Drosophila melanogaster: one gene and its partners. The protein of the gene in region 3 interacts with the protein of the main gene of each other region in a pairwise test. Each region holds a gene or a part of one and is shown on either strand. Other genes may lie near its edges.

Region 1 (3,754 bases), on a different chromosome or scaffold from region 3:
TAATCCGGATACAGGTAGTCCTGCAGGATGTTCTGGAAGGCTATCTTTATCTTGCCGCGATCACGGCCGTTCAGCTTTTGGATGTCGGGCAGCAGGCTCATCAGAAACATGGCATCCGGATCGGTCTTGCAGTCGCACAGCTCCGCACCGCCGTTGGACACGGATCCGCCGGACGCGTTGTTGGCTTCCAAACGCAGAGGAAGCGCTGACGGCGGCACCTGTGGATGTCCTCCATGCATATGGTTGTGCCCATGCCGTTGACTCAAGTAGCTACTGCTACTGCTGGCACTAACACTACTACTGGGCGCCATCGGGGTGGCCACGGCCGCAGTGGATGGTGTGGGCAGTTCCGCTTCGGATAAGCCAGCAGTTCCTGGAACACCTCCTCCTCCTCCGCCTCCGGCGTGCGTTGTAGTGCTAACCAAATCCACGGGCTTGCTGAAAGTAGGTCGCACAAACGAAATGTTTGGATGGGCAGTCGGCTGTGCGGAGTAGTTGACCCCGGCCACTGCTGCAGTTGGAGCTTGGAGTTCCTGGGAACGCGGACGAATAGCGCCACGCATCTCGTCATGGTAGGTGCGCATTTGGAGGCGACCCGGAAGCATTCGGCTGGCGTGTGAATGCTGGTTGGCATAACGACGCTGGGCCTCCGCCGATGAAGAGCTAGAAGTAGGCGCCATCTTGTGTAGGTCCTGGTCATCCTGTTCATCCTCCTCGGGCTCGTGCGCCTCTTGTTCGTAGTCATCCACCGGCTCCTCGCACTCCGACTTAATGTCGTTGCCGTCCAACTGGCCGTGGTAACGACTGTTGCGCTGCTGCTCCTCCTCCATGATGTCATCCAGCTCGGAGTTGTTGTGTTCCGCCTCGTCAAAGTAGTCCAGATAGTTGTCCAGCTGCTGTGCAGGTGGTGACTGGTGGGCGGAGGGCGTGGGCTGGCCACCAATACTGCTGCTGCCCGGAATGGTCACTGAACGCTCACGCTGCATACGACTAGAAAGGTTCGAGAGGTGTGCCAGGGCGTCCTGCACCTGTGTGTCCAGCGATTTGGGCTGCTGGTGCTTCTTGCGTAGATACGGATGCAGAAAGAACATGCGGTCGAAGTAGGACCAGCAGGGTGGCACCTTTTCCTCCAGATAGTTGGTGTACTCTCGTCGGAACGAGATGCGCAAATTGGTCCACTTGGCCAGACTGGCGCCCGGATTCTTTTCCAGCTTCAAATCCACCTCGCGCCAAAAGTTCTCCACGTACGGGCGGCAAAAGTAGTATTTGTGCCTCGGATTGTAGATGGCCTCGTCGCGCTGCACAATTTCGATTAGTTTAAAGACCTACAGAACAACAGAAATATGTGAATCAAATCATTTTCAAATTGCATATCCATGCAAATACCTCCTCCGTTAGCCAGCGGGATGCACTACAGCTGGTGTTGGGATTGCTGGACACGAACTGGCTGCCCGCGAAGTCGGTCGTCATCATGGGTGGGCTGTGGCTCCAAGGCAGTCGCTCCGATGGATTCAATTTTTGGCTGACTTATCCAGCGTTCGCCATAACTTTTGCGAAATATTTTTATTGTTTTTCCCAAGTGTTCTTTTAAGTGCTGTGAACCAAACAGGCGGCCGAACTGGTTCCGGATCACAGAAGCTTTTGCTGACTATTTTGGTTTATGCGGGTTCCTTAAAAACAATGATCATGCAATATAAAAATTTCCCATATATATATCATCTTGTCTGAATCCGCGTGCTATGCTTAAAAGCTTAACCTGTAAGTGGCAAAAAGCGAAATTCCATGTGTTGCTATTTCTAAACAAACACAAAACACATTATTTAAGTACCACGCAGTGTTTGCCGAATTGTTTCTTTTCTCTTGATATTTGGTACATAGGCGGAATTGAAGCATTTGTGTCAATATTTGCAAATCTAAAAATGAAAGGTATAAAATTGAGCAACTATCCCCGGGAAAATATCACAGTCACAAAAGAGTAATCAAGATGAAGTTCTTCGCCATTCTGTTCCTTCTGTGCGCCATCGTTGGATTCGCTGCATCCTCCACCTCGACAACCACGACGGAAGCCTCCTCTGATACTTCAACCACTTCGGCGGCACCATCCCCAGTTCCGTGCGGAAATGGGCCCCAAGGACCATGTGGCAAGAAACTATACTTTTTCTACTAAGAAACAAATAAAGCACTCTATTCTTTAAAAAATGCATCGAGTTAAAAATCTGAATGAATTTAAACTAGATATATGTACATATTTAAAACTAATTTCACGAGCCACCCTAGAAAAAGTAAACGCAACGCATATTCTAGTATATTTTACCCGACTCAAGTGTATTTTTTGGTGCCCCGAACTTTGGTCACACTTTACCATTTTGGATTTTATTTTCTGTGTTTTTCCAAAATTTACTTCGATTCTGGCTCCAAGCTTTTACGTTTTTTCTGAAAATTGTGCGCATCTCCATGTGAATGCCGCACGGCGCGATAGTAAGTATAAAGCGTGGCTGGTGGGGGCATGTGGCTAAAGGAAACCACAAACACGGCGAAAGCTTGCAACATGAAAAGTCCACATTGTGGCACACATTCGCTCACAAACAATAACAAATTGAACGCAAAGCGAATCATAACAAAAAACGTCGGTTATCAAAGGATATTCAAAATGTGGTAGCTAGTGCGGGCATCCTGAGACCGATTGAAAGGTTTCCAAAGCCAGGCGCAGACTTGGAGGACGTGACCTGCCACAGGATTCGCATTAGAAATCACGCATGCACACTGAAGCGAAAGCAAGGAGCGCAATACTTGGCTAACACCTCGTTTGGCAATCCATTGGGCCTTTCCACATAACTGGCGATCATTTGTTTACGTCGCATCAAGCTTAAGTGCTTGCACACTCGAGTTGCATTGGTTTTGGCGCGCTAATACGTAGCATCTTAATTCACCACTTAATTGCAGGCAATCACTGGAACTTGATGCCCTACCCACAGGCATGGCGGTCAAGGTGCAATTCGAAATTGGCCACACGTCGAAGCTGCGCAGCAAGAAGACACCGCATCCGCAGGCCTTTACGCACGACTGGGAGATCTACGTTCAGGGCGTGAACAAGGCGGACATCAGTGCTTTTGTGGAGAAGGTGGTCTTTGTGCTGCACGAATCCTTTCCGAAACCCAAACGAGGTAAATGCGGCGATATATCATGGGAGTAGTTCAGTCGGATTAACTCTGTTACCCGAATTGTTTATTTGCAGTGGTCAAGGAACCGCCGTATGCCATTCAGGAGTCCGGCTACGCTGGCTTCCTACTGCCTGTTGAGATTTACTTTCGCAACCGAGACGAACCCAAGCGCATTGTTTACCAGTACGACCTGGTACTGCAGTCCACGGGTCCACCGCAGCACCACGTCGAGGTAAAGACGCACATTTTCGAGGCGCCGTCGGAGGAGTTTCGCACGAAACTTATGCGAGGCGGTGGAGTGCCAGTGTTCGGAGCTAACATCGGTGCCGGCAGTCTCGCCCGAACGCTTTCGCCCAGTGTTGGCAGCGGTGAGACAGCGCACAGTAATGAGATGTCTGGTGTCAAAGCCAAAGGCGTACCAGGTACAATATCCATGAACTCGGATTTAAACACCGGCAAGAAACACAAGTCGCGCAGCGAGGATCCCGGAAAGAGCAATGCCTTCTCTGCCCTCTTCGGTCCGCCTATCACGAAGACCAGCGTAACGGCCAACAACATGGCCCAGGTGCCTGTCTCCAAGCACTCTCCGGAGG
Region 2 (3,754 bases), about 10 Mb from region 3:
AAGCTTATAAATTTATGGCCAAATAAATCTTTTTTAAATATTTCAAAAAGACAATAACAAATACAAGCACATTAAAATGAAAATATTTGTGTTTCAAAAACATCGAGTTTTGTGAAACCCCAAAGAAATGTAAGGACACATATTTAAACACGATAAAAGCAGTTAAAACCTTTAAACTTTAAAGGATCTTGAAGTCTATTTATGAGGAATATCTTAAAGAGTAACATCACTTTAAAATGGCTTACTATAATTGAATATAATTGAATAAACGTTTGAAATAGCATAACTGGGCATTTAGTGGCCACATCTTGCGGTATCAAATATCCCAGTTAGCAGATCATCAAATGGCGGCAGATTGCATCTATTAAGCCCGGACAGATTGGCCAATTTGGTTGCAAATGAGCGAGGCGGACGGATAAGATCCGTCCTCAATTCGGCTATTGCAGCTATTTTCGTGCCAATTCCGGAATTTGTGCGGACGTTTTGCCCATGGCCAATTAACAAATAATTGATGCAAATTAAAATGCATTTTGTAGCGCCGTGTTTCGATTTGTTCTCTCCCTTTATTTTGTCACTCGCAAAAAAAAAAAAAATGGAAAAGGATTGGGGGACGAAAAAAGAAACGAGGAAATGACACGCAAGGTGAGAGTTGGGGACTGCATTTGTGATTACGGACGGATTGTGTGCGGATGATTGCGGCCATTGATGGATGTTAGAGGGGAATGGAAGAGGTTGAGGGGCTGGGGATTTTGAGGTGCCTGCCCCCCAAGTGAAAAATGAGAAAACTGAGTCCTTGGAGGTTAAGTCTAAGCGTCGCGACACAAGTTCGCTGGGCTGGGAAACTTATTTTTGTTTACATAATCCTTCCACGTTGTCTCGCTGCCCAATCCCCTTTCGCCCCGCCTCACCGCCCCCGCGTTTATTTTATATATATATATATTTTTTTTTTTATTTAGCGGCAGCTGCTGGACCGCAAAACGTAAATTTGGGTCAAGTTTTGTAAGCATAACGAATGGCAGAACCAAAACCGAAACCAAAACTAAAAACCCCAACCAAACCGAAGGCATCCCATATGCATAAATGCGAAAGTAACCTTCGTCTTGCCCTCTCTTTCGCCTCTCAAGCTATCTCTTTCCCTGTCTGCCTGCGGGTGTGTGTGTGTGTGTGCGTGGGTGTGTGCGTGTGCGGATCCCTTTTGTGTAAATTAATCTTTGGCTGCCGCACAAAAGTATGCTACACAAATATAAATAAACACTTGATCCCTTTGTTGATTGTTTCTTTTTGTTTTTTGTTTTTTTGTTCTGCGGCACAACTAATGTTTTCATTTAATTTTCGCACTTTTGCTTACTTTTTTGTTTGTCGTATTTGTTTCGTTTTTATAATTTATTATTTTTGCTTTGTTTGCTTGACGTTCGTATTATTTAACCGAAAAAAAAATGTCAACTATTTTGCAGGATTGGAACTTGGAAAAAAAAGGAAAACAAACCAACTATTTAGGTAATGGCTTTATTTTGTTGTTATTGTTGGTTGTTTGTTGCTGCCACTGGCGGCTAATGTTGTTGTTGCCGTTGCTGTAGTTGTTGTCGATTTCCGTGGACCGGAGAGCGCGCTTTGTCCTTTTGTTGTTGTCGTTGCGAACCAGCGATTTGATTGTAAACTTAAAAACCTGCCGAGCTGCGTTGCGTTTGTTTGGCGGTCAAATCAGCGACTGAAAGCGCTCTGCACGCTCCACGGCGAACGGAATACGGAATATGGAATACGGCGGAATGTGCGGCAGTACGGCCAAACGGCTGGCTATATGTGTGTGCGCTATCAACAACTGAGAACTTTTTTGGTAACATTCTCAATGGGTCGTGGTGAGTTCGAGTTGGGCACCCCTTCTACCGCCCCCTTTCTGCCATCACTTCGCTTAACACACTACGGTACTCGCGACTCATAACTGACTTATATAACGCACACATATGCAGGCATTTCAGTGAACTCACCACTCGAAACGATGACGAAGGCGCAGGCACCGAAGCTTTTCACCACACTCACCCACTCACACGCTCGCTCTCCCGCTCTCTTCTCACGCGTCTCGTTGTGTGCGTGTTGAGGCGCCTCTGTGTGCGTGTTAAAAGCTGCAAGAACTTACAACAAAAAAACTCGAAGAGTTTAGCAGCTGCGGAGGACCAAAAAAAAAAAAAGAAATGTAAGAGGAGGAAAACCGAAAAGCCAGCGCAAAAATGGGCCAAAAACGGGGACCCCTCGTGAATATTGAACTCCATGGAAGCGAAAATGGCAAACCCGTGGACACCAGTTCTGCAGCGGGAGCCATCGACAATTACCAGAAGCTGGCAATGGTCTTAGATAAGAGCCCAAATCGCCAAAGAGCTGGGAAAAGTCGAACAAGAACTGGGACAATCAGCCAAGCAGTTAGCGATAAATTTCCCCCCACTTTGCAGCACACAGCGAAAATAACAGTACGGCCCAATGGAAAGCGACGATTTTCCTACAATCGAAAACATTTTCCAACATTTAGTCTTAAATTTAGTTTAGTTAACTTTTATTTATTGAAGTTTACCATCATCGTTGGGTTGCCTTTTGTTTATTGGCTTAATTGTTCAATTTAATAAAAGTAAATAACAATATAACAAACAAAAAAATAAAAGTTATTGTATTGTATTGCAATTAACCACAAGTAAAAGAAACTTGAGCAGATTATCCCAAAACCGAAGTTGCATTTTATTAAATTCTGCGATAAAATTAGCTTTTCATCATATTTTCATCTCCCTTTCATTATTAGCTTAAATACATAAATATTTAAACGTTTTAAGGTTAATTCGAATAGGTCGATTAATAAATTCGAAAATGCTAATAAAACGAAGTGTATTTTGTAGTTTACGACCCACATTTACCATTAAAAAATGCTGTGTTTATTCATTCAGATGGAAATGGTCGATTTATCACAATCCAAGGCAATTCCCAATGTTTTTCAGTTGCAATTAAAAAGAGATAGTTTTTTTTTTTTTTTTGAATCAGACGGATTTGTGTTTGCTTTTACTTCGTGTGTGTTTTTGTGTTAGAAAATATGTATGCAAATATATACATATATATAAGATCTTTAATGGCAATATACTTGAAAATACTTATATAAAATTATGATAATTTTCAGCGAACTTGCAACAATATAAAATTCTCAACGGTTTGAACATTCTTTCCAATTCTACGAATACTTCGCCTTTTTTCGCTCTGTGTAGCAGCAGCAGTTGACGGGGAAAAACTTTATCACCAGAGCGCTAGATACGCGAAATCCTAGAGGCGGGGGAAAGTGCGTACGAGCGACGGGCGCACCTCCAGAACGAGTCCTTCTCCCCCCAGACATCCGACCCCCCCCCCTCCTAAATTTTCTTCTTTTTTTTTAAGGATCCCTACGCTATGACGTGGCTGAGTAACAATCCGGCAATCCAACAAACGAACAAACAAACAAATACATGGCATAACACGATAATAATAAAAATACAAACATTTGCCATTGCGTGTCCCTCAATGACGTAACCCCCCCTGAAAACACACAGAAAGACAAAGACAAGTAGAGGTGGTATGGTGGTGGGTGGGGGGTGGGGTTTTGGAGTTGGGGTTGGGGCTTCAAGGCGCCCCAATGTGGACGGACAGGGAGGGGCCAGTGAAACCACATCCAAGTGGGTGGGCATTTTGCCGGTACGAAAAGCGCTAGTTGCTGGCTGAAAATTTACATTTTGCTATGTGCGCACAG
Region 3 (3,754 bases):
GGAAGCAGAGGATGAGGACGCGGTGGCGGCGGAGGTGGACACAGCAGATGCGGATGCCGACGATGAGTGTCAAGTGCCCGCCAGTCAGATGCGCCAGAACTCCACCACGTCGCGCAAGAGTTCAGTGACCTTCCAGAGCGTCAGTTTCGAAGAGCCCGATTTTGTGGCCACGCCGCGAACGACTGCCAGATCGGATCTATATACATCCAGTGCCTCAATTAGCTTCGCCACCTACCGCTCCGCCTCGCCATCGCTGTCCTCATCGTCCACCACTGCGTCCGCCTCACCGTCCATTGCTTCTACGGAAGCCGTGAACGGCTATCACATGCAGGAGAACTCCATACTGAATACGCGTCGGATGCAAGATGTTCAGCCGCATCCCGATGTCATTAAGCTGCGGGCCCAGGAACAGCGCCAGCAGACCAAGAACCAAAAGAAGCAACGGCCCAAGCACATAACCAAATCCAAGTCTGTTGAGGCGCCAGTCGAGGGACAGCACCATGAACATGATGACCACAATGATCCCCAGCACCAGCATCACTCGGCTGGATCGAGCAAAATCCGTGCCCTTTTCAATCTCTTTACGCGCTCGCGAAAGAAGTACAGCAAGCTGGCGGAGCACAACATGGTCGGTGGACCCGAGTTCTGTGCCATTGATCCCTATCAAACCGATTTGGCGATGGGGGGCAGCAGTCGCTCTTTGAAGCGCAAAGGCAAAAAGCCGCAGACGCAATCCTGCGAGCAACTGGAGCGATGCTAAAGTCCCAGTTGTGCGCCGTGCTGCAGTGTTGCTGTTGGAGTTGGCCGCCAGATGAGAACCGCCTAATTAGCTCATTGTTTTATATTAAAACTGTAGACTAAGTCAGACGCAAAGGAAGAGCGAAGAGATGAAACAGCAGGCGAGGATTAGCCATAGCTAATGTGTGAAATTAGTAGGGCCCAGAGATACAGATACCTATCCGAATTCTTTCCGTCTAACGAAATCATAGAACTAAACAAAAAACCCCTCTGTCCGCGGTTGGCATTTCATAATAACCGAATTGTTCCTAACGAATGCAATATGTTGTGCGAAATTCACAAATCAAGTTAATCCCTAATTAGTCCAGTGATTTGTTTTGTTTTTTTTTTTGTGCCAGAGGAGTGGCTAGAAAATTGCAATGTGTAGCACAGAAGTGAGGACGAACTTTTGAGGATCAAACGGATAGATAGACTAACGCCGCTTGTACGTAGACAAACAGACACGGAGAGAAAAAACGTGTGCATGGGCCAATGGCAAAATATATTGAACTAAACCATATACATAAATGTGTAACAATTGGATTAACATTAAGCTATATTTATACCGATGCGTAAGTGCGTCCTTACACATTACACATTACACACATCTTAGTTGAACTAAGTTCTAGTTTTGTAGGAACTCGAACATTTTTTTGGAGTCCTTCCTCCTTTTTTTTCACCCCCTCAATCTTTGTAAGAGATATTTTCCAAAATTTCCATCGCTTGCGGCATTTCGTTTGGCTTAAGTACACTTAACGAAAAGTTGCGGTGCACATTAATTTTAATTTGATATTCGACTTTTTTGGTATTTTGAGCACAGTTTTATTTACATACATTTATTATGCAATCGGGTTTTCCATTTTATTTATTTATGATTTATTTCTACAAAAAAAAAAAAAAAAAAGCACAAGAATAATCGCGCAAAAGAAAGAAAGAAAAAAAAACCTGTGATCAAAAAACGATGATGAAACGAAAAGGAAATGATCATTTTTTTGTATTATTTTTATGAAAACTTTCAATTGTATATTTATACTTCATTTTACGATTTGTTCATTCTACGTTTAGTGCTCGATTCTATTTCAATGTACTTTGTATATTATTGTATTTTCCATGTTGGGGCCAAGCCAACCCCAAAAAAAAAAACAAACAAAAAAAAAAGAAGAACCAATACCCAGAAACAGAAATCCGACAATAAAACCAACTTAAGACAATCTGCCGACCAGTTTTGATTGCCTCGCAGCTAAAAAGCACAGAGAAAGTCCAATGATCCAAACTAACATTTAAATTACTTAAACTTATTTAAAGTGAAGCTATCTTTTAATGTCAATTTAACGTGAAAATGACTGAATGAAGAATGGATTTTCTCTGTGCATGAGCACAATCCACAATTTTGGACAGAGAGAGAGAGAGAGAGATTAACCTATTAATATAGGACGAACAGAGTCTCCTTGGTATGCGGTGGTTAAACTTTGGTGTTGCCTGCGGTTACTATCCAACTACTCTTGTACCCCCCGCCTCCGACTATCCGATTACCACCCGACTACCGACCATATCCCAGCCATCGTTCCCCCAAGCCAGTACCAACCATATGCCGTAACTCAATCATGTCTCATATCCGCCTTGGAATGCTGCCGATCGGACCGACCAGGCTACCAGGGCAATAGCAAGATGGATAACTGGCGTCCGGGTGCCACCAACATGCCGATTATGTCGCCATCGCCATATCTCCTCAGCCGCTTCACCAGCAACGTGCCACTGCCGACACTCTATGCCGGCGATTCGGCGCGCAAGCCGAAGCTTTCCGTGATCGAACTGTTGCTGTACAACATGGCATCCCTGCTGGCCGGAGTGGCGGCCGGATATGATGTTCGCATGTCGAACGTGTCGCCAGTGCATCCGACTTTGCTCAGCGAAGTGCCAGCTCTGAAGGCGGCACCAAAGGCAGCGATTACCGGAACGGAAGAGGTGGTGGAGGATTCACTGCCGGAACAGATCCTGGAACTGGAAGTAAATGTGCCACTGAAGCAGCAGGAGCTCAGGGAAAGCACGCCACGTAAGATAGTCACACAAGCAAGGTAAGTGCTAAATGAATCCGAAAGAGCGCGAATTCTTTATACACTATATACTCTATTCCTGCCCCCCAGATTTGGTGGCATTGAAGCTCCGGTCAGCAAATCGCAGCCCACATCTCTGGCCCGGCGCATCGGAGGCAGTCAGCCGTACTACACACCTGTGCAGCGGACACCACAGCATCAGTTGCACCATCACCACCAGCAGCAACAGCAACAGCAGCAGCACCATCATCATCATCCTCACCAGCCACAGCCAGTTCCATCGGCCGTGGTGACAACAGTAGCGCCATCACAGCCGCCAGCCGTGGTGAGTGCACTGTATGCCGGAACCCAGCCACCGACGCCATCGCCACGGCGTAAGCTGAGCAACAGCAGCTTTGGCAATGCCAATCCTCAAGCGGATGTCTTCGAGGAGTTTCGTGTGGGCGGTGGCATTGGTCCACCGCCACTTTATGCGCCAGCCGATTACCTGAGAAACGGACCCAGTTACTCCAACGATGGGGGAAACTACCGAAATGGTTACTTCGGTGAGTGGGCAAGCCATTAGACATTCGAGGAGAATCCTCCAATTTAAAATATACTAATTGCCCGTTGATAGGTTCCAATTACTTTCCATACCGGCCGGAGTTGAACTACAGCTACGAGCGTGACTGTAAATCGTATCCGGACTATTCCTACGACTATAACCATCGCCTGCCGGACTACTATGACTACCAGTATGAGGCGCCACCAGTGGTGCCGCTGCCCGTGACCGTTCCCTGTCCGGTGAGCCAGACCCGTACACCACCACCGCGGGTGCCACAGATGGGCGTAAGTGCGGCCGGACACCGACGCACTCCCTCAACCGTTTCGAACAATTCGAATGTACTGCTGGAGCACGAAGAGCTGCTGTGCTATGACTACAA

What was found.
Region 1: the proteins of CG2278 (region 3) and CG6276 interact in a two-hybrid assay, tested with the Drosophila melanogaster proteins (one large-scale study listed by BioGRID).
Region 2: the proteins of CG2278 (region 3) and Frq1 interact in a two-hybrid assay, tested with the Drosophila melanogaster proteins (one large-scale study listed by BioGRID).

Annotation. Positions count from the first base shown.
Region 1 is NT_033777.3:15,318,441-15,322,194, forward strand, and holds the start of CG6276 (uncharacterized protein), read right to left. Parts: upstream 1,630-3,754; 5' UTR 1,474-1,629; coding exon 1,387-1,473; intron 1,326-1,386; coding exon 1-1,325. Other genes in the region: CG44040 (uncharacterized protein), read left to right, coding at 1,985-2,167; ear (ENL/AF9-related), read left to right, coding at 2,978-3,164, 3,236-3,754.
Region 2 is NC_004354.4:18,153,327-18,157,080, reverse strand, and holds the start of Frq1 (frequenin 1), read right to left. Parts: upstream 1,713-3,754; 5' UTR 1,349-1,712; intron 1-1,348. UniProt on the Drosophila melanogaster protein: Ca(2+)-dependent modulation of synaptic efficacy. Also plays a role in axon terminal morphology.
Region 3 is NC_004354.4:8,168,588-8,172,341, reverse strand, and holds the start of CG2278 (uncharacterized protein), read left to right. Parts: upstream 1-2,075; 5' UTR 2,076-2,445; coding exon 2,446-2,852; intron 2,853-2,921; coding exon 2,922-3,376; intron 3,377-3,447; coding exon 3,448-3,754. Other genes in the region: slpr (slipper), read left to right, coding at 1-760.